7 linked regions of the Canis lupus familiaris genome follow. The protein of the gene in region 7 purifies or fractionates together with the protein of the main gene of each other region. This does not show direct contact. Links are inferred from orthologs where the notes say so. Each region holds a gene or a part of one and is shown on either strand. Other genes may lie near its edges.

Evidence for each region.
Region 1: the proteins of SF3A1 (region 7) and SNRPD2 fractionate together in Homo sapiens (co-fractionation; 3 studies listed by BioGRID and IntAct, with this or other methods). This does not show direct contact. The link is inferred for Canis lupus familiaris from reciprocal best matches to the Homo sapiens genes SF3A1 and SNRPD2.
Region 2: the proteins of SF3A1 (region 7) and DNAJC8 purify together in Homo sapiens (affinity purification with mass spectrometry; 4 studies listed by BioGRID and IntAct, with this or other methods). This does not show direct contact. The link is inferred for Canis lupus familiaris from reciprocal best matches to the Homo sapiens genes SF3A1 and DNAJC8.
Region 3: the proteins of SF3A1 (region 7) and SNRPD1 fractionate together in Homo sapiens (co-fractionation; 4 studies listed by BioGRID and IntAct, with this or other methods). This does not show direct contact. The link is inferred for Canis lupus familiaris from reciprocal best matches to the Homo sapiens genes SF3A1 and SNRPD1.
Region 4: the proteins of SF3A1 (region 7) and SNRPA1 purify together in Homo sapiens (affinity purification with mass spectrometry; 6 studies listed by BioGRID and IntAct, counting the BioPlex papers as one, with this or other methods). This does not show direct contact. The link is inferred for Canis lupus familiaris from reciprocal best matches to the Homo sapiens genes SF3A1 and SNRPA1.
Region 5: the proteins of SF3A1 (region 7) and ZC3H18 purify together in Homo sapiens (affinity purification with mass spectrometry; 3 studies listed by BioGRID and IntAct, with this or other methods). This does not show direct contact. The link is inferred for Canis lupus familiaris from reciprocal best matches to the Homo sapiens genes SF3A1 and ZC3H18.
Region 6: the proteins of SF3A1 (region 7) and PRPF19 fractionate together in Homo sapiens (co-fractionation; 3 studies listed by BioGRID and IntAct, with this or other methods). This does not show direct contact. The link is inferred for Canis lupus familiaris from reciprocal best matches to the Homo sapiens genes SF3A1 and PRPF19.

The regions. Positions count from the first base shown.
Region 1 is NC_049222.1:110,602,083-110,606,375, forward strand, and holds the start of SNRPD2 (small nuclear ribonucleoprotein Sm D2), read left to right. Parts: upstream 1-1,493; 5' UTR 1,494-1,542; coding exon 1,543-1,544; intron 1,545-3,294; coding exon 3,295-3,474; intron 3,475-4,293. Other genes in the region: QPCTL (glutaminyl-peptide cyclotransferase-like protein), read right to left, coding at 1-20, 520-795. UniProt on the Homo sapiens protein: Plays a role in pre-mRNA splicing as a core component of the spliceosomal U1, U2, U4 and U5 small nuclear ribonucleoproteins (snRNPs), the building blocks of the spliceosome.
Region 2 is NC_049223.1:71,586,672-71,590,958, reverse strand, and holds the start of DNAJC8 (dnaJ homolog subfamily C member 8), read right to left. Parts: upstream 2,801-4,287; 5' UTR 2,726-2,800; coding exon 2,648-2,725; intron 334-2,647; coding exon 232-333; intron 1-231. UniProt on the Homo sapiens protein: Suppresses polyglutamine (polyQ) aggregation of ATXN3 in neuronal cells.
Region 3 is NC_049228.1:66,463,568-66,465,826, forward strand, and holds part of SNRPD1 (small nuclear ribonucleoprotein Sm D1), read right to left. Parts: intron 1,220-2,259; coding exon 1,028-1,219; intron 1-1,027. UniProt on the Homo sapiens protein: Plays a role in pre-mRNA splicing as a core component of the spliceosomal U1, U2, U4 and U5 small nuclear ribonucleoproteins (snRNPs), the building blocks of the spliceosome.
Region 4 is NC_049224.1:40,139,848-40,143,973, reverse strand, and holds the start of SNRPA1 (U2 small nuclear ribonucleoprotein A'), read right to left. Parts: upstream 2,801-4,126; 5' UTR 2,697-2,800; coding exon 2,615-2,696; exon of another isoform or gene 2,098-2,614; intron 808-2,097; coding exon 660-807; intron 1-659. UniProt on the Homo sapiens protein: Involved in pre-mRNA splicing as component of the spliceosome. Associated with sn-RNP U2, where it contributes to the binding of stem loop IV of U2 snRNA.
Region 5 is NC_049226.1:65,225,645-65,229,144, reverse strand, and holds part of ZC3H18 (zinc finger CCCH domain-containing protein 18), read left to right. Parts: intron 1-617; coding exon 618-766; intron 767-1,095; coding exon 1,096-1,188; intron 1,189-2,023; coding exon 2,024-2,181; intron 2,182-3,500.
Region 6 is NC_049239.1:55,998,423-56,002,498, forward strand, and holds the start of PRPF19 (pre-mRNA-processing factor 19), read left to right. Parts: upstream 1-1,276; 5' UTR 1,277-1,291; coding exon 1,292-1,364; intron 1,365-1,905; coding exon 1,906-2,055; intron 2,056-2,240; coding exon 2,241-2,317; intron 2,318-3,092; coding exon 3,093-3,234; intron 3,235-3,317; coding exon 3,318-3,391; intron 3,392-3,512; coding exon 3,513-3,575; intron 3,576-4,076. UniProt on the Homo sapiens protein: Ubiquitin-protein ligase which is a core component of several complexes mainly involved pre-mRNA splicing and DNA repair. Required for pre-mRNA splicing as component of the spliceosome.
Region 7 is NC_049247.1:23,910,286-23,914,324, forward strand, and holds the start of SF3A1 (splicing factor 3A subunit 1), read right to left. Parts: upstream 2,801-4,039; coding exon 2,738-2,800; exon of another isoform or gene 2,690-2,737; intron 94-2,689; coding exon 1-93. UniProt on the Homo sapiens protein: Component of the 17S U2 SnRNP complex of the spliceosome, a large ribonucleoprotein complex that removes introns from transcribed pre-mRNAs.

The sequences.
Region 1 (4,293 bases), on a different chromosome or scaffold from region 7:
AGGCTTCCGATCAAGCGGCCCTTAGGAGGAGGGAGCAAGGAGAGGGAAGAGAAGAACCGAACGTGAGGGCAACCCCCATTCCAACCCTAACCCGGACGCCATCGCACCTAAGAAGCCCCGGTTCTTCTTCCTAATTCGAACCTCCAGCATCGGAGGTTTCCAGAAGAAATCCTAGGCTAAGGAAAGTCCCTCTAAACCCACCAGGTCCAGCCCACCTCAATCCTGATGGGGAAATCGAGGCCGAGAGAGAGGAAGGGACTCTTCCAAATAGCTGACTTTCAGATTGGAACCCAGAATTCCCAGTGTTACTACTGCAGACTCTCCCTCTTAGGTAGAACCACCTATTACAGAACAAGCCCAAAGCCTCAGTTCGTTAGCAACGGGCATGCGCTCTATCGACGGAGACCGCAGCACCTGCAGCTTGGGCCAGACGACACAGCCACGTCAACCTGAGACCTCAGGGAAGGGGAGGCGGGGAATGAGGGCTCCCGCGGTGCCCGTGCCCCTGCCGGGCCTCACCCGCAGCTCCCGGCCCCGCGGCAGCTCCTCAGTCTGGTGGTGCCAGCCGCTCCAGATGGTGTAGGTCGCCGAAGCCAGGGCCAGGGCCAGCAGAAGCAGAGGCAAGAAGTGCGCCCGCGGGAGCAGGCGGCGCTTGGGCGGGGAGGGCGGCTCCAAGAGGCCACGTTCCCCGAGCCGTAGCCGGGACCGCCCGCGGCCCCCGGAAGGCATGGCAGCTTCGCCCCGAAACCGGTCCCGGACCGCGGATAGTTTAGGCCCAGCCAAATCCCACCCCATGGAATCACCGAACCAATAAACACGAAGAGCGGCTGCACCATCCCACCCACCCTCGGTCAGTGAAACCAATGGCGACCCTCACTCTGAGAACACGCCTTCCTGTCTCCCTGGGGCTTTGGGGTTGGTTCCCCTGAGGGTTGCACAACCCAAAAGGGTAGTGCGAAAGGGAGAGGCTCCGCCTCAACGGAGGAACGGAAGCCAATGAGCAATGTTTGATCCTGAAAAACGTTGGACCAAGGAGCAGGTCTCCGCCCCTCCCGTAGGAAGGCAAAGGATTGGTTACTCGAAGTCGGAAAGATCAATAGACACGTAAACGAACCGACACCGATGGAAAAGGGGCGGTGCCCGTCCCAGAAGCGAGGAGCCGATTGGCTACACGGAGGCCGCGCCCCCGAGGGCGGAGCCGGCGGGCTTTTGGAATGCCGTGTCCTGTCCCTTCTTCAGCTTGTGCCGCTCTACAACGAAACGATTTGAGTCGGACCCGCTTTATTCTTCTCTCCATTGTCTTCTCTCCATATGGTCCTGAAAGACCCTGAGCTACTACGCAGTGCTTCTACCCCACGTCTGCGCGGGGCCGGCGCGGATTGCCACGGCAACAGGCCTCGCCCACACCGTGCAGGTTGGGATTGCGCAGGCGCCGACGGAAGTCGGCCACAGGAAACGGAAGTCCCGCCTGTAGCCCTCTCTTCAGAGGCAGGAGCAACGCGGGGAAGACGGAGCTGATCTGCGAGCGCAGCCGCTACCACCATGTGAGGCCCGGCGGGAGTGGGGTCGAGGGCGTAGATGTGGCCGTTTGCCGGTGGTGGGCGAGGCGGGATCGGAGGCAGAGGTTTTAGGGGTAAAGTACGCACCGTTCTGACGAGTTTGAGGATGGGCATGGGGCCTTTTACGGGTCCTGAGTTCGAGGGAAGGCACTTGATCAGTTAATGAGCCGGGATTTCCCCGATAATGAGTCTCGCTGAAATGGATTTTAAGGGGAAGCAAAGAACCTGGGAAACGGGAGTGCGGAGTTTTAGAAATAACGGTTTGAGGTACGGGACTTACCCGGACAATTTGAGCTGGAGAAGTTCACCTCATTCGCGACTTTTTCGGCTCACGAATCGCCTTAATGATTTTCCTGATTTGGTATTCATTCAGCAATTATTTATTGAGCACTCATGTATTAGGCACTGCTTTAACTACGTGAGATACATCAGTGACTGCGACCCCCATCCCGCAAGAAAAATGCCCTGCTGCAGCTTATGGGTGTGGGAAAAGGCAGACAATGAACACACCGGTGATAAAAATGTAAAGTGTATGGCGTGTGTTAGGTGATCAGAGCTAAGTGAGTAAAGAAGCAAAAGAGCAGGATCCAAACAATGGGGAGTACTAGTTTTGAGAGAAAGTAACTCAATAACCAGTGCAGGACACATTGAGAAGGCAGCAGTTGAGCAGAGACCTGAAGAACCTGAGAACCACAAAGATACCTGGGGAGGTATCCAGGCAGAGGGAAAACGAAGGGAGATGCCCAAGGTGAAAGTCTGTCTAATATCTTATATATTTTTTAAAGATTTTATTTACTTGTGAGAGACACAGAGAAGCAGTATCCCCACAGGGAGCCCGATGTGGGACTCGATCCCAGCATCCCTGGGTCAGGATCTTTTTTTTTTTTTTTTTTTAAGATTTTATTTATTTATTCATGATAGACATAGGGGGAGAGAGAGGCAGAGACTCAGGCAGAGGGAGAAGCAGGCTCCATGCAGGGAGCCCGATGTGGGACTTGATCCCGGGACTCCAGGATCGTGCCCTGGGCCAAAGGCAGACGCTAAACCGCTGAGCCACCCAGGGATTCCCCCTGGGTCAGGATCTGAGCCGAAAGCAGATGCTCAGCCATTGAGCTACCCAGGCGCCCCTTGCCTAATATCTTAAAGGACCACCTTCAAGGCCACTGGCTGGAACAGAGAAGGATGGGAAGATGCCAGGCATTGTAAAAACTTTGGGTTTTACTTTTTACACAGAGATGGGAGCCATGGGAGGGTTTCGAAGAGTGAAATGATATGACTTAGATTTTGATACAACCTCTGGGACTGCTGTGGAGAACAGACGGTCAGCGGCATGGGCTGAGGTAGGGAGACAAGTAAGGCTCTCAGGAGAGAGATGATAGAGGTTTAGGCCATGGTAAGAAACAGATTCTGGGTATATTTTAGAGGCAGATGACAGAATTTGCTGACATTGAATGTAGGATGTGAGAGAGAAGAGTCAAGTTGATATCAGGGTTTCTGCTCAAGGAACTAGAATGATGGAGATGAGGAAGGCTGTGGAAAGAGTAGGTTTGAGTGATTGGGAGATCTGGAGCTCAACTGAGGATGTATACGGTTGGAAATGTCTATTCAGCATCCAGCTGGTGATGCCATGCAAGAGGGACTGAGCAGGGGGGTGGGTGGGTTGGGGAGACATCATGTGACCACCCACGCTCTAGCTCTGGGCCTCTCACCTACGGGTTCCATGCTTGCCCCTCAGGAGCCTCCTCAACAAACCCAAGAGTGAGATGACCCCAGAGGAGCTACAGAAGCGGGAGGAGGAAGAGTTTAACACGGGTCCGCTCTCTGTGCTCACACAGTCAGTCAAGAACAACACCCAGGTGCTTATCAACTGCCGCAACAACAAGAAGCTCCTGGGCCGTGTGAAGGCTTTCGACAGGTAAGCACCTGGGTCCTGGAAGGTGTTCTGTCTTGGAAATGCAGACACAGTTCCAGTGTGAGGAACCCAAATACAAGGTTTTCAGAGTCCTGGGGCATAAGCATATTCAGACCTCAAAGTGCAATGGTGTCTTGTTGTCCTTCCAGCTGTGCAGTACAGTAGTGATGGGCATGTACTTGGGAGCCAGGCTTCCTGGGTTTGTGTCTCGACTCTGCCTCTTAGCAGCCATGAAACCTTCAACAAGTAACTTTATCTCTTCCATTCAATGGCAGTAATTCTGGTGATTGCAGAGATTCAGTGACTTAATACATGTGATGTGTAATACAGTCATTAGAAGTACAGCATCTGGCACCAGGAAGCTCTTATTAATCAGGTTTTGCAGTTACGATATAAAGTACCATGCCCCAAAAGAAAAAAATAAAGTACCATGCCCAGTACTTTTTTTAGGCTCCAGAGACACAGCAATGACTGAAAGAGGACTCCTATACTTAAGAGAGCTTATGCCATAGGTAGGGAAACCAACAGCAAGCACACAAACAATGTGTCATAAGAATAGTAAAGGCAGGTGAGAGTGTGGAGTGCTGGGAAGGAGGTGTTGTCCTAGACGGTAACGCTAGGGGTTCCATAGGAAGAGACCGTGATGAACAGACCTAAATACAATGAAGGAGGAAGCCAGGGTCTGAGTGTTTCAGCCAGAGGGAACAGCAAGTGTTATTTCCTCTCTCGGCCTCAGTGTCCTTGTCTGCAAACTGTGCGTCATAAAAATACCCCTCATAGAACAGTTGTGAGGATTAAATATTTCTGTAGGAAGGGTACTTG
Region 2 (4,287 bases), on a different chromosome or scaffold from region 7:
AGGGAGCCTACTTGTCCCTCTGCCTGTGTCTCTGCCTCTCTGTCTCTCATGAATAAATAGAATCTTAAAAATAAATAAATAAATAAATAAATAAATAAATAAATAAATAAATAAAATCACCAAATCTCAGTTCCAACTATCAGACAAATTAGGTGTGTGTTCTGATGTAAGCCTGCCTCCAGCTATGCAAAGCTCCCCATCACAAGGCCACAGCAACATCAGACAGCTCACCTCAAATGGGTTCAAATTGAAGTAGGAAGAACCAGGACGGGTCAATCTTTCAATCTGATTTTTGGATGTTAGAACGGAATCTCTCTTCTCTATCTGTTTCACCTAAAATGAAGGGAGATAAAAACTTCATTAGTAAAGTTCAATAATAAACTCTGAATATTAAGCTACTGACATGTTCAGCAAACATTTGTCTACATGTGGAAGACAATTTTTTAAATGTTTTGAGGAATAATTCCAACAGCTATCATCCACTGAGTTCTAATAATATAAAAACTTGACACATATTTATCCCTCTCAACCATCCTATACAGTTTTTACTATTACCCCATTTTACAGTTAAGAAAACTGAGATTTAGAGAGGTTAACTGTCTTGTTCTCAACTACCCAACTTGTAACTAGAATTTTAATTCCAACAGTCTGAGGAATCAAGAAGATTCAAACATAAATATGTCACAGCCACCACCTTCAAAGAGCTTCCACTATAATGATGGAAGATGTACTTGTGCTGTTCATACTTAATTTACAGCTTTTTATTTAAAAATACAATTACACTGAAATATATACTAAAACAGCATTTAAAAAAATAAAATAGCATTTAAAAAAGTATATGGGAAGGGCAAGTAACTCTGCCTACCTAACCTGAATAAGAGTTAGAAAAATCCCTGGCCCAGGGGCTCAGTTGGTTGGATGCCGAGCTCATTTCCACTCAGGTAGTGATCTCAGGGTCGTGGGGAAAAGCCCTGTGTCTGGCTCTGTACTCTGTGCAGAGTCAGCTTGGAATTCTTTCTTTTTCTCTCTCTCTCTGCCCTTCCCCCCATATACATACATAAAAATTAAAAAAAAAAGAAAAGAAAAGAAAAGAAAGAAAAGAAAAGAAAAAAAAAGAAAAGAAAAGAAGGAAAGAAAAACCCCTGACCCAAAGACAATGCTAAGAAGAACAGACATCAGGTAGTGCCAGGAAAACATTCTTGGTGCCACTGTCAGAGTTATAATACTAGTTGAAATGAATCACTGGTATGTTATATACCATCTTTATTCCTATGAACAAAAAGAGTTTAGGAATAATTTCAGTAATCTAAAAGGCCCTTCCTTCTCAGTATCCTTCCTTTTTGCTTTCTTTAAAACAACATGCCACTCCCCACCCCCTCTACTCTACCTTCTTTCCCGAATTTATTTTCCTCATGGTACCTATCACTACCTGATACAATATTGTATATGTTTGTTTATTGCTTATCCTTCTCTATAGAATGCAAGCTCTATGAAGACAGGATTTGTCTCTGTTGTTCACTACCATACCTCTAGCAACTAAACAGTACATTAGTACATGTCAGGTACTCAAAAAACATTGGTTGAATGGTAAATGAAGGGTGCTCCTTTAGGTACTTTCTCTCATTAGATTCAAACAAACCAAGATTGCTTTTCTTTTTTGTTTTCTTTTTTCTTTTAACTAAGATATAGTAAGCGAAACAATTTTCAGTATTAATTGCAACAGAAGTCCATCTTCAGCTTTAACTCTTTGAAAGACCCTTTCTTATACATTAATTCCTTTAACGCTCATAAAACTCTTTTTTATTTCTTATTTTTTTTAAACTCATTTTAATATTAACTCTCACTTTACATAAGTGGACACCGAAGATCTGTAAAATCAATGCCTTGAAAAAATGCAATCACGGTCCAATAAACTGTGTTGCAAAAATCCAATCCAAGGTCCTCTGATTCCAAACGGCATGCTTTTCTTTCATTTATTCATTCATTTATTCAACAAATATTTACCAAGGAATCACCATGTTCTAGGCGCTGGAAACACGACAGTAAGCGAGGCTCAGACCAAAGTGACTCCAGTCCTAACATGATACCAAGCTGTGATCTGCTTTAGGATCCAGAACAAATTATTTCACCTCCCTAAACCTCAGGCTTGTCATCTGTAAAACAGATAATGCTACCTGGCACGATGCATAGTGCCTGGCGTCCACAAATGTCAGAAACAACCACTACTACAACTCATGACAGAGAACTAAAAGTGGACAGTGCTTCCGTTTAGAATAAAAATGAGGTCCACGATTAGTTAAGTCGCCCCCAAGAAGGTCAGCCTCTGCCGGCCCCTGCCAGCCTCCGACTCCGCGGACTTCGGAGACCTCTGCACGCGCCCAGGCACTTCGTTGGCCACACTCGTCGTCTACCCGCAGACGTGGGACCCTGGCCCCTTTTTCCAAGCCCAAGGGATCCCCTAGCAGCTATCAGGCAAAGACGCAAACACACCCCCAGCTCGCCCCCCCCCCCATCCCCCGCCTTCCCGAAGGCCGGACCGGAGGAGCCGCCCAACGGTCCAGGCCAGGAAGACCACTGCCTTTGCCCGCTGGGAAAGTAGGACCGGGCGGGGTTGCCCTGGTGCCATTACACCCCACTCGGTGTTCACCTCACTGTAAAAGGTCATAAATGCTTCCTCGGTGCTCCCTCCGCCAGCCGAAGCCCCGCTCTCTCCTGGAGCCGCCATTTCCCCGGCCCAACAACCACGTGACTCTCCTGCGCAGGCGCAGCCTCCTGTGATTCTTACAGGCCCGCCTCTCTAGCCCCGCCCCTTTCCTTGTGACTCTTAAAGGGTTCGCAGCCCAGCCAGAGACCTCTAACCTAAACAAACACTCATTTCTAAATTGACGTGGGATCCACAAAATATATCATTGAAATTAATAATTCGGTGTTTCTGAGTACACTTACAGTGTTGTGCAACTACCAACCTCTATCTAGTTCCGATTTTAGTATATGTGTTGCCTAAGGAGCACGTCACTATCTAGTTCCAAAACAGTTTCATCGCCTCAAAAGGATACCTGGCACCTATTGAGCATTTCCTCCCCATTCCCCCTTCTACTCAACCCCTGACAACAACCAATCTGTGGTCTGCCTCTATGGACTTACCTATTCTGAACATCTCAAATAATTGCAATCACAGTATGTGACCTTTTGTGTCTGCCTTCTTTCACTGTGCACAATGTTTTCAAGTTTCATCCAAGGTGTAGCGTGTGTCGTCATTTCATTACTTTTTATGGCTGGATGTTATTCTGCTATATAAATATACCACACTTTGTTTTCATTCATCAGTTGATAAACATTCGGGGACACGTGGGTGGCTTGGTGGTTGAGCATCTGCCTTTGGCTCAGGTCACAATCCTGGGATCCTGGGATCCTGGGATCCTGGGATCCTGGGATCAAGTCCCATATCGGGCTCACCAGGGAAGCCTGCTTCTCCTTCTGCCTATGTCTCTGCCTCTCAATCTATGTCTCTCATGAATAAATAAATAAAATTAAATTTTAAAAATTGAGGGACGCCTGGCTGGCTCAGCGGTTAAGCGTCTGCCTTCAAGCTCAGGGTGTGATCCTGGAGTCCCCGGATAGAGTCCCACATCCCGCTCCCTGCACGGAGCCTGCTTCTCCTCCCTCTGCCTATGTCTCTGCCTCTCTCTGTGTCTCTCTTGTGGATAAATAAATAAAATATTAAAAAAATTTTTTAATTGATAAACATTTAGATTGTTTCCATCTTCTAGCTATTGTGAAATGATGCTGCTATGAAAATGTCTGTACATGTATTTGAGTACCAGTTTTCAGTTTGGGGGGGTACATATCTACAAATGAAAGTGCTGACTCTTATGATAATTCTGTATTTAACTTTTTAAGCACCTGCCAAACTATTTTCCACAGTAGCTGAACCATTTTACATTCCCACCAGCGATGTACAGGGGTAACGGTTTCTCCACATCCTCACCAACACTTGTTATTTTCCATTTTTTAAAATTACAGCCATCCTAGTGCCTATACAATCCTTTGCACAAACTCAGCAAGACCCTCCATTGAATGCCCAGCCTAGGAGATAATCAAGAAACAGCAATACCTGAAAACTAAAAACAGAGTTTCTGAAACTAGAATGGCACTTATATACTGTCTAGAAACACAGGAAATTATTACCACTAGTAGTGGGCTTCTAAGTGATTATTATTTCTATCCTTCTGCTTTTGTATTTTTCCAAGCTTTCTGCCATGAACTTTTGAAAATGTGCCCTGCATG
Region 3 (2,259 bases), on a different chromosome or scaffold from region 7:
TTTTTCTTAACTAAAAGAGCATAGAAAACATATAGACATTTGCAAGTATTAAGACTAATTCTTCCTGAGATTTTTGTTTTGGTTATATGCATGAATGGGCCATGATGCAAAGTATATTTCTTTTTTTTTTTTCTTTTTTTTTTTTTTTTAAGATTTTATTTATTCATGATAGTCACAGAGAGAGAGAGAGAGAGAAGCAGAGACACAGGCAGAGGGAGAAGCAGGCTCCATGCACCGGGAGCCCGACATGGGATTCGATCCCGGGTCTCCAGGATCGCGCCCTGGGCCAAAGGCAGGCGCCAAACCGCTGCGCCACCCAGGGATCCCAACAAAGTATATTTCTTAGTGGAAAGAGGGCATAAAAGTCTCAAAATCAATGTATTAAGTGACTGTCTACAAAACACCCAGCCCTTTCTCCTGCTCTACTCCTATAATGCTGGCTGCTAGGCATTATCTCCTACAATAGATGAGCAGAATCTTTTTGTGGGAGGGGTGGGGAGTGCAAAGCTTCAGAAATGACTCTAGATCCTGAAATTTTGGGTTTCCTCAGTGAAGAGGCTAACTCACTTCTGAACCACCCTACAGTGAGACTCAAGCTTATGGGTCCAGCCTCCCCTCCCAGAACTTCTCTTCCTAGGATTCTATTATTTAAATAAATGGTCAAAGTACAAGATATTCAAGTCAAGCCTACAACATAAAGATCAAAGAGAGCAAATTTGGGAAAGAGAAAGATCAGTCAATCAAGAAACAAACTCTTAACTATGTAAGAGAACAAACTGATGGTTACTAGAGAGGAGGGGGATGGGGAGATGGGTGAAATAGGTGATGGGGGTTAAAGAGTACATTCGCCACATATCAAACTGTTGAATCACTATGTTGTACACCTGAAACTAATATAACATTGTATGTTTACTAACTGGAATATAAAAACCTGAAAAATCTTGAGTATGTCTCTGCCTCTATCTGTGTGTCTCTCATGAATAAATAAAATCTTTAAAAAATAATGTTTATAATCCTTCAAACTTACCAGCTTCCCTTTTCTTAGATTTCACCTTTGGTTCAACATCCACAAGTAGTGTATCCAGAGGTAAGCTGTCTGGTAGAATGAAATATCGAATGTTATTTCCTCGAATACTCAGTGTTTCCAGCTGTACTGGTTCTCTATTCTTCAAAGTCATTTTCACAGCTTTAAGATGTGTATTCATGCTGACATCTACACCTACAGGGGAAAAAAGAGAGAGCTTATTAGCATGATAAAGAAGGCAACCAGTAAATCTATCAAGCCGAAGTAAATAACACAATACAAAAGAATACTGCCCATTCTGCTACACTCTAGGACACTGCCTATTCTGTAAGACTCTAGGACACAATTTAGTACAACTGGTTAATGGGTGAATAATGTCAATATAAACCAAAAATCCTTTCTTCGGAGATTATCTCTAGTACATTAATGTTTTGCATGATTAGGTATGCTTACAGATGTGAATGCAGCAAGCCACGGAGGAACCCTGAGTGATACCTGACTCATTCCCACTGTGCCCAGGTATTCTCATCTCAGGGCGTTCTCACTATCTCCATAACTTCCTTATTCCCCATGTCACCAAGCTGTTAAGTCTTGTTTTATTTTTTATTTTTAAAGATTTATTTATTTATTCAAAGAGAGAGAGGCAGAGGAAGAAGCAGGCTCTATGCAGGAAGCGCGACATGGGACTCGATCCCAGGTCTCCAGGATCACACCCAGGGCTGCAGGCGGCGCTAAACCTCTGCGCCACCGGAGCTGCCCCTGTAAGTCTTGTTTTAAATAAAAGATCCTATATATATTGCAGTATTTTCCTTGTTACTAGGAATTTAACACATCTTTTTAACTGCTTTTTGAAGGAATCTTACTGTTTTTAGTACTTTAATTCCCAAGTTGCACAAGTTTTGAATGCTCTGCCTCAAACTATTTTTCCCATTGCTTTTAGTGTGAGATTTTGTAAAAGAAAAGCACAATTTTCTAGAATGAATATTATGGCATTATCTTAGAAATACCCAATTATTGGAGCCTTTGCCAATATATCTGAACAAATGGGTAACAAAAGACCTAGTTTATTTCTATTCCTACAAAGTTAGACCAGAAAACATGAATTCTCTTAACTTTCCCAACATCTACTTCAAATAGCAATTATGGTCAGTGCCACAGGGTCACTAACCATGTTACTGAAACCTCATATTATTCTGATTTCCTTTAAAGCAATTGGTGTCACATACACAAATATA
Region 4 (4,126 bases), on a different chromosome or scaffold from region 7:
CTTGAGGATTTCTCTCTCTTTGCACCACTCCCTGCTCTCAGGCATGGGCTTTCATTCCCTAAAATAAATCAGTCTATCTATCTATATAAAATTGTTGAACTTTACATATCTTCTAAATATAATCCCTCTGATAATTACAATTAGTTTTAGAAGCCAAAATATGCACAAAACAGAATATTTGCAATTTAAATATCTATTACCATGAATATATAAGTATTTCTGAACAAATGCAAATAAAAACAAGACCATTACCAAGTTAATCTATGGGCCTATATGGCAAAAGTGTAGCTTGTTTCTCATTTTAAAAAGAAATACATTAAAAAAAAAAAAAAAAAAGACATACATAGGTCAGCCCCACTGGCCCAGCAGTTTAGCGCTGCCTACAGCCCAGGGTGTGATCCTGGAGACCCGTGATGGAGTCCTGCATGGGGCTCCCTGCATGGAGCCTGCTTCTCCCTCTGCCTGTGTTGTGTCTCTGCCTCTCTCTCCAAGTCTCTCTTGAATAAGTAAATAAAATCTTAATAAATAAATAAATAAATAAATAAATAAGAATACGTAGGCTCAACTGGCAGTATATGTACTATGGCTTCTTCAGGGAATGCTGCAATATTTACTCTGGGGGGCGGGGGGAGAATTACTCTCCACTAGCAGACACTTACCATATTCTATTGTTGTTCACTAATAATGTTTTCAGCCTTCTCAACAAAGGAAAACCATCCAGTTTCCTGATTTCATTGTCAGAAAAATCAATAGCATCAAACTGGTCTAAGGTAGCACCCAGATTTTCAATGACAGGAATTTTATACCCTGCAAAGTAGAAGGAAAAAAAAAAATACACAAGTATTGATATGGCTAAACGATACCTTAAAACCTTAGCAGTACTTCATGGTAATTTGACTCAAAGCTTCCATTTATTTAGAAAGTGTTTACCTGGTACCTGTGCTGTGCCAAACACTGTGCAAGTATCTGGCACATAAAATGAGGAACAAGGATCAGATGGCCCACTGCCACAGTCTAGGAGTGGACATGAAGTCAGTCATGACAACACCCGACACTTATTAATAGTAATATTGGTAGCTAACATTTGCAGGAGTATTTTTTAAGGTCCCTCACGCTGTTATAACCAAAGCTCCAGAAATAGGTAAATGGCATAATGAGAATTTACATTGTAAGCTGCTTTTTTGTCAGCGTCCAAGTCTTGTTCATACATTGTGGACAACAGCTCTTGACTCTGTTTGCATTCCCACAGGCCAGATACATAAAACTTACCAGGATATCCTTGTGATCTCATGACAGTTCTCCCTTACTGTACACTTCCCCCAGCTCCAATTCAGAGTTGAAGGTCAACAGTTTATACACAATAATACATCACCCTGTGAACAATTCACCAAACCCTCACGAGTTTGTCTTAAATGGGCATAACTACTGTGCTAGGTGCTGGCGGAAGAAAGAAACGAATCCAAGCCAAGGTTAAAGTACATAATTCAGAGCAACAAGGGTTGTAGCAAAGCAAACGCTATATCAAAACAAGTAGCCTCAACACTCGATGCACTTCACGCTTAGATGGTTAAAGATCAATCTTCGCCAAGAGAGCGACACTTAATTTCAACAAAATGAAAGCAGTCTGGCTTTGTCAGCAAGGAATCCAAGCTTAAGGCAAAGCCCACAACAGTGCTGCACCTCAGACGGTGTTCTTCTGTGGAGCCAAATCTCAGGCCCAAATTGTATTCCCAGAGAAACTGCTCTTCACATCATTCCTAGAGTCATTTCCTTGATATGCTGATTAGACAGCTGCACTCCCAATTTCCCACCAAGCCTTTACTAAGGTTGAAATGGCTACGTGAATTTGAATAGTTCAGAGCTTCTACCGCCTTACACAGGGAACTTGTACTGCAAGCCTCTTTAAAACCTTTTTTTTTTCTTTCAGTATTTTACTTATTGATTTCAGAGAGAGAGAGAGAGAGAGAGAGAGAGATGGCACAAGCAGGGAGAGCAGCGGGCAGAGAAAGAGGGAGAAGCAGGCTCCCCTCGGAGCAGGGAGCCCAATGCGGGGCTGGATCCTAGGACCCCTGGGGATCAAAGACACTTAACCGACCGAACCACCCAGGTGCCCCTCAAATGCTTTGATAAAAGAGAAATATGGGACAACTGAAGGGAAGAGGGAAGAAATCTTGCGGAAGCAATCGCTTTTGTTCTCCGACGTCATTTCCCCCCTCGCAAATTACAGGTAACACGTTCTCTTACTTACGCTCCCACAGTAACACCTGAACGTATTTACGAAGAACCAACCAGCCGCTGCGCACTAGCGTTACCAGCACGAACAACTTGCCAGCTCTCAAATAGTTGAGACTGAGAACTACGCCAAGCAAGGCCTGCCTGAGGCCCTCGGCTGTGGACCAGGAAGCGATCTACTGGCTGGGCGTGTGAGTAGGAACGAGGGTAACCCAAGGCTCAGAAGGGCCTAGGGATGGTCTCTGGCAGCACCGGGAAGACGCAGCCCCGGGCGGTGCTGCCACAGTCCGGCTCGGCGCCCACAAGGCAGGCCCGCGGGCCAAGCGCCGGCCCTCCGAGCACGCGGCTGGGCGCGAAGGCCCACCCACTCCTCGAGACTCACCCCGGAGATCCAGCTCGCGGTCCCGCACGGCGTTGGTGTACTGAGCCGCCTGCTCGATCAGCTCCGCCGTCAGCTTCACCATCCTGCTGCCTCCCGCTGCCGCTGCCGGTGCCGCGGCCCACCGGCTGCTTCCCGCCGCCTCCCGCCCGCCAGACTTCCCGGCGTACCCCGCGCCCCGCCGCCAGGCCTCACCAATCGCAGCCGGCGCATGCGCGCGCCGCTCGGCACCCAGGCCGAAGTAATCGATCGTGAGCAACGCCCACGATCTCGTCGTCTGCGGAGCTGCTGGAGCGCGCGGAACGTGTCTCGGGTTCTGGGTTTTTCCTTGGGGCGTGCTTGAAGGAGGGCCCCTGATTCCTGATGATGCTCTTGTCCGCAAGTTAAGCAAAATGTAATCGCACCCGAATAGAACTTTCTCATGCATCAATGCATTTTGAGGCGGGAGGAAACGCTGTGTCTGCCCTCGCCCCACCCAGGAGGGACGGGCACCCGGGGGATCCAGTGAAAGGTTCAGGACTTCAGGATTCCCGCCCCACCAGGGCAGGGTCGATCACAGCCCGCCCCGCTGGGATCGTCTTACCACCTAGCGCGCCCGACCCTGCCCCGCGCACAGTTCAGTTTTCGGTTAGGCTTGTGACCTCCAGGTATTTAAATATTTAACAGAAGCACGGGATACAGAAGAGTGCGCAAACCAGGAATCTGCAACGTGAAGAATACCCGCAGAGGGAGCGCACCTGCGTTGCTGCCTCCGGGTCCAGAAAAAAGAACACTTTTCCGAAAGCCTCCATCCCTTCCCAAAGGCAACCAGGAATCCCAACACCACAGATTAGTTTTTGCTTGCTTTTGATACAAATAGAGTCACGCAGCGTGCTCCCGTGCCTGGTGTCTTTGGTTTTGTGTTATAACTGGAATCCGTCCCAGGTTGCATCCAGCAATGGTTTGTTTACTTTTCGCTGCTGTGCAGAATCCCATGGTATATCTCAGACCACAATTTAGCCATTCTGCTGTTGATGGACATTAGGATCGTTTTGTCGTGGGGCTGTTCCGAATACCGCTATGCATTTTTGTTGTACGTGGATCCAATGCACACGTGTCCAAGTTTCTCCAGGAGTAGAGCTTCTGGGCATAGGGTATACTATCATCAATAAGTAATGCCTAACAGGCCAAGAGGCTGAAATAATACTAATATACATACTCTAGCTGTGTGCAAGAGGGTTTCCATCACTTCCAACCTCAGCCCCTTTAGTATTGCCAGTATAACTGTGGGGACTGGGGTGCATGGGTGGCCCAGTTGGCTAAGCGTGGGACTCTGGATTTCTGCTCAGGTCATGATCTCGGGTAGTGGAATGGAGCACGACCATTGGGCTCAGCCAGGAGCCTGCTTGGGATTCTCTCTCCCTCTCCCTCTGCTCCTCCCTGTGCATGCAAATTCTCTTTCAAATAATAGTAGGGCAGCCCTGGTGGCTCAGCGGTTTAGCGCCGCCTTCAGCCCAGGACGAGATCCTGGAGACC
Region 5 (3,500 bases), on a different chromosome or scaffold from region 7:
GTGTTTTGAATCTAGATAAGGATCTTACACACACATACCTCTGAGCCCTTGTGGGGTTGCAGGGTCACCTGAGCAAGAGAGTGCCTCGCAGAGCAGGGGGCCACCTGTGACTGGGAAGCTCTGGGACGTCTCTATTTGTAGGGCCAGATGAACTCTTCCCAGAGTGACTTAGGGACACGGGGTGCCATGTTTCCTTGACCACATGACCCCTGCCCCTTTCAGGAGCCCTTAGGAAATCCCGCTCACAGGAAGTTCCTCAGTCCAGGCTCTGGCCTGAGACCTTCCAGGCCTGCCTGCCAGGAGGACCTGGTGCATGTGTGGAGGTGGGGATCCCGGGTGTGGGGGGCGGTGGTTGCTGTGCTGGCTCAGCCTTGAGGAGCGAGCCTGGATAGCCCTGCTCTGAGCTCTGACTCTGCTGCCACTGCTGGAGCCTGTCCTCAGGTTCACACCACTTATGAGATGGTGAGGGCTGTGTTAGGAGCTGGGGGGCACACGCGGGACCCCTCCCAGGCCTGGCACTGCCCCCAAGCTGCCGCTGCAGGCAAAGCGGACAGGAAGCTGACCTCCTGCACTCTGGTTCTCTTCTACTTTTTCTGACCTGGCTTTTGTCTCCATAGGGAACTGCACATGGGGAATGAACTGTAGGTTTATACACCCTGGAGTCAACGACAAGGGCAACTATTCCTTAATCACCAAAGCCGAACCTTTCCCGCCTAATGGTGCCCCGCCTCTTGGACCTCACCCACTGATGCCTGCCAACCCATGGGTGCGTGAACATCTGTTTTCTTTAGTTGCTAGCAAATGGGACATCTAAGCTCTCTGAAGCTTCAGCTTACAGCACATTAATACACCCCGTGTAAAAGGCACTTCTGTGACATCACACAGTCACTGAGTTACCTTCCAGATGCTTCCAAATCTCCATGTGGAGGTAATCCTAGATTTGGGCAGGGTTGTGGGTTAGGGACCAAATCAAGGTTTGGAGAGCAGGTGGTGTACAGCCGAAAGATACTCTAGCTGGGGTTTTTGTTCCTGTTTCTTTATAGATTTTAAAGTTTTGCTGGCTTTCTCAACTTTTCCCTTCTCGTTTTTTAATAGGGTGGGCCAGTAGTTGATGAAATTTTGCCTCCACCCCCTCCAGAGCCCCCGACAGAGAGTGCCTGGGAACGAGGACTCCGGCACGCAAAGGAGGTAAACCAGATGGCCCGAGAAGAAAATGCTAGCAGCAGTCCTTGAGCAAAAGTAGCATTTCTTTGATTCAGAGACAACGATTGAAAACCCAGTGAAGTCTCTGAAGTGAGGGGTATATTTCTGTGATTTCTCTGAAGAGTTAAGAGTGGAAACTGATGTCTGTCGATGTCTCCACGATGCACCAGCTCACGAAACAGGCCCACTGCCTTCCTGTGGCCTGGGTGGCAGCAGATTCACCCTAGCTGCTGCTGCTCTGCTGCAGCCCCTGGCTGCCCAGAGCCACTCCTCATAGATGTAGCGCAGGGAGACCCCTGCCAGTGGAGGAGCCGCCCTCTCCCTCCCCACTCGCTCTGGTCATACCATGGCCCCAGCTGTTGGGCCTGCTTTCTGAGCCCCTACTTCTCTCCAATGAGGTTTTCCTCCCTCACTCAGCACACAGCCCACCACCTCTCCTTTCTTCTGAGACCGGAACCACTGCATGTGGCTTTTCTGCCATGAGCAGATTCACCATTCTCTCTGTGTTGGGCCACCTCACAGTGACTCTCTGCCACTCCCCATCTCAGTGTTAGGACTATTTCTAGGAGATGGCCAGCTCTGTCACCCCTTTCTGGAATGGAAGCAAGCTCCGAGGCACTGCTGAGCCGGCCTGTCCTGACTGCCAGGTGTAGAAATGGAGTGCTCCAGGCCTAGAGCATAGGCGCATCTCCCCTACCACGGGCTCAAGTGGGCTGCTTCTGCCACTCTGGCCTGGGCTCTGTGGGTCAGATCAGGATGGGCTTCCCTTTGCTTTTCCTAACAGTAACTGGCACTGACTTCTTCCTCCTTACGATGGTAGGTTTTAAAAAAAGCAACCATTCGAAAAGAACAGGAGCCTGATTTTGAAGAAAAAAGGTTTACGGTGACCATTGGCGAAGATGAACGGGAGTTTGATAAAGAAAATGAAGTTTTCCGAGATTGGAATTACCGGATCACCAGAGATGTCCGGGACACAGTGTAAGGAACAGTTCGGCCTCTTCCTTCCCTTTTGAGAGAGTATGAAGTTGTCCCCAGCCATGTGAGCCCTAGGCTCTGGAGAGCATCAGCACACAGGTTCCCTCAGGCATTGGGTGCCACGTGTGTCCCTGTCCTGGGCTGAGAATGGCACCCCCAAGATCCCTTTGAACTTTCCTTGGTTTTTTGCTCTGTGAAGGAGGTGTCTCAGCTCTGTCGGGGCTGCTGCCTGGGGAGGGCTCACCTTCCTATGGGTTTCTCTGAGTTCTGAGAGTTTCTCTGCCTCAGAGAAACTGAGCCCCGTGGAGCTCACATGGAGCCCCGTGTGTCGGCCTCTGCCCACCCTCCTCCAGGCACCCAGGAGCCAGGGAAACTGTGACATTGCCACCAGAGTCCAGGAACTGGGCAGGTGTGACCCTTCCCATTATAAAAGCTGTGTTTGTTGATCCTTCTCCTAGATGTTTCATTACTGGTCTTTTAGAGACTCGTGACAGAGGTACATATGGTTGAAATACCTAAGTCCAAATTTAGAAATTGTGTAATGTTAAGTAAAGTTCTCATCTGCCTGTGCTTATCCCATGGGGGGAAGGCCGGCTTTGTGGTGCTCCTCTCTGAGGGGCAGAATCGGGCGAGTTTCTCCTGGGCAACAGCAGCAGCGTGGGCCCAGGTCACAGGGATGGCATGGCATTCGGTGTGTCGTCAGAGCCGGCTTCAGCAGCATCTCAGGCTTTTAGCGACATTTCGCGCATTCACGTTTACTGCCAGGAAACCTGCCGGGGTCTGGCTGAGGATGGTGCGGAGAAGGACTCATCTGGTGCTTGCATGTCAGGCTGTCTCAGGTCCCTTCTGTCACACCTCCATCCTTTATGCAAACAGGAAGGTCCACACCTATCATGGCAGGAGACATCTCAGAGGCTGAAGGGTAAAGATTTAAAGATGTAGTTTCCACTTCGTTGTTTTCTAATTCTGGATGTGGAGGTGTGTTAGACCCCAGACAGGAGCATGGGAGTCAGGACTTTGGCTGCCAGGTCATATGCTCCCTTCACACCCTGAGGCCTCACATTTTGCTTATGTAAAAATCCAGGTGGTGATCTTGCCTTGCTGGAGGTAGGGGGGTGAGAGTCCGGAGAGTCCGCGCATGTGCATGGGGCACTGTGACTAGCACAGAGCAGAGAGTGAGTATGGTCATTCTGAGCATGGAAAGAAGGGGTTTAGAACCTCAGCATTTCCCCTTGACACTCCGTTTCCCGGCCCTGGCTGCCACGGAGATCCGCGGCTATCCTCCAGGCCAGCTGGGTGCAGAAGTCCAGCAGTCAGCATGG
Region 6 (4,076 bases), on a different chromosome or scaffold from region 7:
AAAGGGCAGTTTCCGTTATAGGTGCCGGAGGCTGAGGCGCGCCGCCGACCGCACTCCCACGTGAAGCGCTGCGCGAGCGTCGCTCTGCGGGGTCGCCCCCCGCCCCCCGCCCCCCGCTCGCCGCTCGCCGCGGAGCGTCCCGGAAGCAGCGGGGAACCGGAAGCGGCCCGCGGCGGCGCGGAAGCGAGGCCCCGAGGCCGGCGTGAGGCGCCTCGGAGCGCTGCGGCGGCGCCATGTCCCTGATCTGCTCGAGTGAGTGTGGGCTGCGGCGGGTCGCGGGTCGGAGCGGGAGGAGGCGCCCGCGGGGCCCCCTGAGGGGCAGGGCGGCGGCCTGTCAGCGCGGGGCCTCCTCCTCCGCGGCGTGGGATGCGTTCGCGCAGCGCCTCACGGTTGACGCGGCGCCTCAGGTTTATGGTCGCAGACGTCACCGAGGCCGAGGACCTCGCTCGCGCCTTGAGCCGGGGCCTGGACGGGGGGAGCCGGTGCGGGAGACCCCGCCCCTCCCCCCGCCCCTCCCCCCGGCTTTGCGGTCGGACGCGGGCTCTGCGCCTCAGTTTCCCCGTCTGCAGAGAGGGGGCGTTGCGGCGGGCGTGTGCGGGCCCGTTCGGGCGGGCAGAGCCTCTGCAGCTTGCGAAGGTCACGCCGCGCGTCAGAGGCAGTGGCGGGGCTGGAGCCCGGGGCACGACCACACCACAGGGCGCCTTCGCTGAGCCCTTGGCCGCCGCGCCGGGCCCGACCTCGGTGCATCCCTCGCAAGCCTTCTCCAGAGCAGAAATGAAGGACGGGGTGTGCAGATGAGGGCCTGAGGCTGGAGGAGAGTGTGGCACAGCCGGGTGGGGGCCGCTTTGAGCCCCGGAGGAGCCGTGGCGTTTTGGGTTTTTTTTTTGTTTTTTTTGTTTTTTTTTGTTTTTCCTGCCTTGTACCGTCTTCCCTTTCGGCACTTTGACGCGGCGCGCAGGTGTTTTCCCGTGTCCTCAGGCTGCTAGAGCATCCCTCTCGGATGTGCTTCCGAACTCGCAAGCCCTGAGCTCTCTCCTCTCCTCAGAACCTCTCCGGGAATCCAAACGGAGGGAGACGGGAAGGAAGGGAAATGAGGGCCAGGAAAAAGGAATCTTTCATAGCGAAGAAACTGCAGCTTTTGCAAGATATTTCACGTTCGTTGTTTGCTTTCCATCTCGAGGAAGTTTTTTTGTTTTGTTTTTGTTTTGTTTTTGTTTTTCCCCGCTCCCCCCCTCCCCCCCCCCCCCATATTCCCAGCACCATTCTTCCTTTTATTTGATGGTTTCGTTGGATGTGTACCGGGTGCCTGCTGGGCATCTGCATCGCGCTGGAAGTCAGACCAGCTGTAATCCCTGTCCTCAGAGGTGTGTAGTCTACTGAGGCAGGTGTGTTCGGGGGTTGCTGTGAGGATGAGCCCATCTATAGAAAATGTTTACGATCATGCTCGGCACCTGATACACCATATAAGTGTTTCTTCTTAATGTAACACTCGTCAGAGAGCTTTGTGATTTTTTTTTTTTTTTTTTTGGTCCAAAATCCATCTTGGCTCTAGACTGAGATTTGAGTAGCCGTGTGTATCTCTGTGTCTTCCAGTATGATGGGTGCCTGGGCATCTTTTTCCAAACGGAGACGGGTGGGGATTGATGATTGACCACTCCGTAGATGTGTGGCATGTGGCAGTTGTGTGCTAATTGTTGGTTGACTACCTGCCAGGAGAATGATGGAGAAGCTAGTTATGTAGCTGAAAGGATGCTGGGGATACTACAAAAGTAGTGTCGTGTCCTGCTTTCTGTTAGTTGAAAGTGGGGACGTGTGGTTTTGTTGGGGCCAGTAGCCTGTGAGGCATCGCCTTGCCCCAGGGTCCCTTTCACCGCCCCGCGCTCACCGCCTGCCTTTTCTCCACAGTCTCCAATGAAGTGCCAGAGCACCCGTGTGTGTCCCCTGTCTCTAATCATGTGTATGAGCGGCGGCTCATTGAGAAGTATATTGCGGAGAATGGCACAGACCCCATCAACAACCAGCCTCTGTCTGAGGAGCAGCTCATCGATATCAAAGGTGCCTTGGTGGCTGGCCTCCATCCAGGGCTGTTTTTGCTCAGAGCTTGAGAGGCTGGGAGGTGGCACCAGTGCACTGGAGGAGGAGACGGTGTTCTGTTAATGTAGGCTAAAGGGGAAAGAGATGGGGGACATGAGGAGTCCCCGGGTTAGAGTTCTTCATACCCGCTCTCCCTCTCTTGGCAGTTGCTCACCCAATCCGGCCCAAGCCTCCCTCTGCAACCAGCATCCCAGCCATTCTGAAAGCTTTGCAGGATGAGTGGGTGAGTCCCTGGAACAGAACTGATGTTTGTCTGCTTGAAGAGAAGGGATCACTGCACTAGGACTTGGGGTGGGGAAAGACGGAGTATTATTTTCTTTTTTGAGGGGCAGGATGATAGTGGAGGAGGAGCCTGGTTGTTGAAGTCCCACGGATCTGGGTTCCACAGTTAGCTCCCTTGCTCCCTTGCCACATACCCTTGGGCATATTGCTCATATGTGAGTCCTGGTTTTCCTGACTCTACGACAAGGATTTGTGCCAGTCTCTCAGGGTGTGGACAGAATTAGAATAAAGGTAGAGTATAAACCTTGCGACATCAGGGATTTGATTTATTAATTGGTATATCCCCAGCACCAAGGGTAGCACCTGGTATGTAGTGGTGCTCTGGAAGACGAATGAGTGACTACATCTTGAGTGGTCGTCTCGCACAGTACCCGGCACAGTGAGGGCAGTTGATTAATGGCAGCCTTAGTGTTATGATTCCCTTGTGGGGAGGTGACGGAATGACGTCGAGATTTGCCTATAAATCAGAGGCGATGAGGGTGGGAAAGAGCTGGCTCCCACTCCTGTCTGTGCCCAGTATTTGGTATGAGGTAGCAGCTCCAGAGTGGCCACCAGCACATTCATGGTCCCTCACGTGTTGTTTGGGTTACCAGTACTGGTCTAGGCTGTGGGAATACAGGGCAGTGTCCTCTTCATCTCTTGATCAAGGGCTGACTCTTCTGCTGGGTGTTCCCTGCTCCTCCTCACCCCCTCACAGTGGCGTTTCCCTTCTTCAGGATGCAGTCATGCTGCACAGCTTCACTCTGCGCCAGCAGCTGCAGACAACCCGTCAAGAGCTGTCCCACGCTCTGTACCAGCATGATGCTGCCTGCCGTGTTATTGCCCGGCTCACTAAGGAAGTTACAGCCGCCCGAGAAGGTGCCACCTATGCCCCAACATCCCCCACTCTGGGCTGGTCCTGCTTTGTAATACCCCATTTTTAATGTATTCTTTTCTCTCAGCTCTGGCCACCCTGAAACCACAGGCTGGACTCATCGTGCCCCAGGCTGTGCCGAGCTCACAGCCAAGTGTTGCAGTGAGTGCACCTCCCCCTTCCTGCCTGTCTTGCAGCCCCTGTGTGCAATGTCTCATGTGGCTCTCCTGCAAGTGTCCTGGGTGTTCTGTGCCTCCCTCACCTTTAACCTTCTTGTCTTCAGGGTGCAGGTGAGCCGATGGATTTGGGTGAGCTGGTGGGAATGACCCCCGAGATTATCCAGAAGGTAAGTTGTGGGAAGTCACTTGGTGGGAATGCTGGTGGGCCCTCATGTCTCACCATCTGCCTTGAATCCAGTATGAATAGAAATCCCACCCATGTGGGACTCCCAGCAGACCAGTGCAGCGCACAGACTCAGGCCACACTGCCCAAGTTCATGCCTCTGTATCACTGCTTAGAAGCTTTATGACCTTGGGCTGACTTAACCAAGTCTGTATCTCATTTTCCTTTTTTTTTTTTTACATTGAGAAAAACAGTGTCTGCTTTGTAGATCTATGGGAATTTAAAAGATTGTAATTACCGATAAGTGCAACTTGTAGCTCTTACTGTTAGCGGGGTATTGGGGTTCTTTGCATATCATAAAACACTGGTTACATTTTCACATTTTTTTTTCTCTGATGGAGACAGAAGGTGAATTACCATCTTTAGTTTACAGATAAAGAACTGACACCTTTGACAGATTCAAAGGTACAGGTCACAGAAGGCAGAGCAGGCCAGATATCAGGGC
Region 7 (4,039 bases):
GATATTCCTGACCTCCGGAGGAGGATAAATAATTCCCACCACTGGCTTGGAGGGGGTAGAATCCTCCTTTGAAGAAGCTTCTTCTTCTGTGGGCTGTGAAAAACAAAAGGAAAGGAAAATGATGTCTCGACACTCCTGATCTGGGGGACTGGATCCCTACTGTCAACCTCCTCTAAAATTTATTGCCAGTATAGACTCTCTCTTACGAACTTTTCTTGAGTTAGGACCCATTGCTCCAGAAAAGCAGTTCTCTTAATTGTACAGCACTTGCATGGAACTCTCGCAGGGAACCAGTGAAGAGAGCAGCCTCCTTGGCTTCCTGCTGCTAGCTGGTCTCAGTGACACTGAGAATCTGCATTTGTACCAAGAGTCCAGATAATGACTGCTGAATAAAGATAGGCGATTCTTTGCTGGCAGCTCCTTATGTCGTTTTCCTCTGCATCTATTCCAGTCTTTACCACTCAATGCTCAAATGTTTTGTGAAACCCTACTGGAATATACATCAACTATCCTGTAAATTCCAATATTCTTTCTTCACCAGTTTCTTTCCCTTAGTAAACAAAGGGTCAGTCTCTCATCTTAAAAAATAGCAGTTCCCTGCCCTCATATTCTTTTCTGTGGCTGTCCTCTCCTCCTCTTCCTCTGATAGCTAAATTTCCTGAGTTCTCTGTCTTGCCATTCCTACCTATTTCCTCAGCTCCTGTTTGGTTCCCATCCATTTCAAGTGCTCTTGCCAAATTTGGTCAAATATGACTGCCTACAGCCAACTACAGCAGTCATCTATCTGGTCATGTGACCATGACCATTCCCTCACAAACCTCTCCACTCAAATCCCAGGCCCCATTCTCATGTGTTTTGCCTTCTTGCTCACCATTCCATCCGAGTTTCCTTCCTGGCTCCTGTTTCACCTCCTGCCCTATATTAGAGTTCCCCAAAATTCTATTCTCCACAGTATTCACACTGTCCTCAGGCACTCCAACCATGGGTCCTTCACTTCCCCTACCACTTCTAGGCTGAACAATCACACACAAATTGATGTCCCCGATCACTCTTGTGTGCCACAGAACTCCAGATCCAGCTGACTCCCAGGCACTTTCCTCTCTAACCACTTTTCTCATAACTGGCCAACAATATACTGTCATCCAGGGCAGAAACATGGGCCTCCTTTCCCTTCCTCAGCCTCCACATTCAACGATAACATTTATCAAGCACGCAGTAGGTTCCATATACTTTTCTAAGAACTTTAAATAAATTAACGCTATAGCCTTTATGAGAGCCCTTTCATGTGAATACTCTTATTCCCCCCCATTTTACAGATGAAAGAACTGAGGAACATAAAGCTTAACTGGCCCAAATGGAAGACCAGGATTCCAAAACTTTAGTTGGATTCCATCACTTTAGTTGCAGAGTCTGTACCACCAGCCATATTGTGACTTGAGCTTGCCCATCCAGTCTGCCCCCCCAAACCACCTCTCAGCATCTTTTGAGTAAACTGTGCTCCTAGCAATTCTCATCACTACCTGCCTACCTGAATTTCTGAAACACAAACATGTCATTAACCAGCTCCAAACTCTTCCCTTTCTCCCCACTATCTACTAGGAAAGTTCAAATGCCCCCAAATGCATCTTTTGCCACCACTCTCCCAATCCTATGTTTCAATCACACTTTTTAATTTACTCTTTACCAGAGACATCATCTGATTCCTACCCTGATGTCTTTGCAATTATCTGGTATTACTTTGTTTACTTTTCCCCAAGTGACTTGGGAAATGCCAGGAATACAGATATATTTAAAATACTTGTGGTAAGGGTACAGACCTCTTCTATCATGTACTCTGCTGTATTCTAAACCCAAAGCAGTGGTCACCATATAGCATGTATTGAATAAATGTTTGCTTAATGAATAAAGGATGCCATTAACCTTTTCCAATCACCTGTCTGGCAAACTACTAATTCATCCTTCTAAAAGCCATTTACCTGTCACTCATGTAGGCTTCACCTACTTTAATTTCCCCTACACTCCATCAAAGAAATGTTGCTTTGTTTCTTTTGTACCTGATACTAAAAGTGCCTATCACACAGTACTGCAATTATTTACACACCCTTTTCCCTCTCAGCTAATAAGTGCTGACTGTATCATTTACGGTGATCGAAAAAATAAACATTTGTAGAATATTCATCTTATATCTGCCTCCCCACTAGAACCATGAGCTGCCTACACTAGTTGTGCTTCATTCATTCTGGGTAAGCCGGAGCATGGTACGGTGTTTGGCTTAGAGTAAGCACCAAGCAGATGCTGTGAACTGTCTAAACTGTACCGTACAGGATGCGAAATTAAGGACTGCTGGGCAAAAGCCGGCGGGAAAGGCGAGGGTGAGGAGGGCCAAAGGTGGGCCCAATAACCACAGAAAACCTGCGAATGGGCATAATCAGTGTTTCTCAAACTTTAATCAATCACCTTGAGATCTTATTAAAAATGTATTAATATTTAGGTCTAGCATTTCTAATGAACTCCCGGGCAATGTTGATGCTGTTGGTCCGTGGACCACACTTCCAAGGGCGCTTTCGTTACCGAAGGCCGCGCAGAGCGGGAAGCGCGCGGCCTCCTGGGACTTGTAGTCCTCCAAGCCCTCGTAAGCGGCCGCTTCTTCCTCTGCCTTAGTGAGGAGTGCCCGCGCTGGAGGGGAGGGCCCAAGCCGAGGATAGGGCTGCCGGTCGAGGTGTGGGGGTCGCGGTACCTGTTTGGGCTCGGTGGCCGCGGGCGGCGGCGGGGGCACCGCCTGCACGGGTCCGGCCGGCATGACTGCGACGCTCAGGGCTGCCAGTCCGCCTCGCTGAAGGTGAGCGGTGCTGCGTCAAAGCAGCTCCCCGCACGGACGATACAACAAGCTCGCAAGATGGCGGCGTCCGAGAGACTCGACGCCAAGGAGGAGGAGCTGACGCACTTCCGGGACCGCCCCTTATTCATGATGCAACTTCCTGCTCCCGCCCTGGAGTGATCAGCGCGAGACGCCGTTGCCATGGCAGCGATCGAGGCACCCAGCTAGGATTTGTGGGGGTTCCCCGGAGCCCTAGGCGCGTCGGGGGGCAGTTCCATGAGCCGACCAGACCACAGGGGCTGAGGCTGCGACGCAGGATCCTGGGGAGACGTTCTACATCACCCACCGGACGCTCTCCGCACGCACCCCACGGCCCTGGCCCCCCCTCTCCTTTACTTTAAAGGTGGGTTCTTCTCTCCCTCCGACCCCGCCTTCAAGGGCCTTCCGCTCCCTCCCATTGGCTTGTCATTTTGGAGAACCCCTTCCCCTCCAACCTGCCTCCTCAAGGCCCCGCCTCCTTCCTCAGCCGGTTTCGCTTCATGCCTTCTTCCTTCAGACTCCCTTCCCAAGTCCCGAAATCAAATTCCCACTGGTTTCTCTTCCCGTGGGACTGCCTTTCAAGGTTCCACCCTCTGCCTTCCATGGTCCCGCCCTCAAGCCCCGTGGACCGTCTCGAATCAAGACTTCTTTAAGCTCCGTCCCTCACTCCCAAAGGTGCGTTCCTCCTGACCACTTCCTTAGTTTTACCGAGCTCACCTCGAATCCCGCTCTTTCCATTTCCTTTCCTGAGATCCGGTCCACCTCGTCCCCTCTCCTCTCCATCCCAGCTCCGGACCGCGGGTCGACTTTTAGCCTTTGCTTGGATAGTTTAACAATTTCTTTACTTGCGAAATGGAAACGGGATAGGAAAAGATGCCCTACCAAATGTCTTACCCCATCTCTCTTTCTCACAAGCACACACTCCGTAGCTGGTTTATGTCGTTATTTTTTTTAAAGATTTTATTTTATTTTATTTTATTTTATTTTATTTATTCATGAGAGACACAGAGAGAAAGAGAGGCAGAGACACAGGCAGAGGGAGAAGCAGGCTCCATGCAGGGAGCCCGATGTGGGACTCGATCCCTGGTCTCCAGGATCACACCCTGGGCTGAAGGCGGCGCTAAACCGCTGTGCCACCCCGGCTGCCTTGTCGTTGTTATTATTAATGTAGAATGATAATGA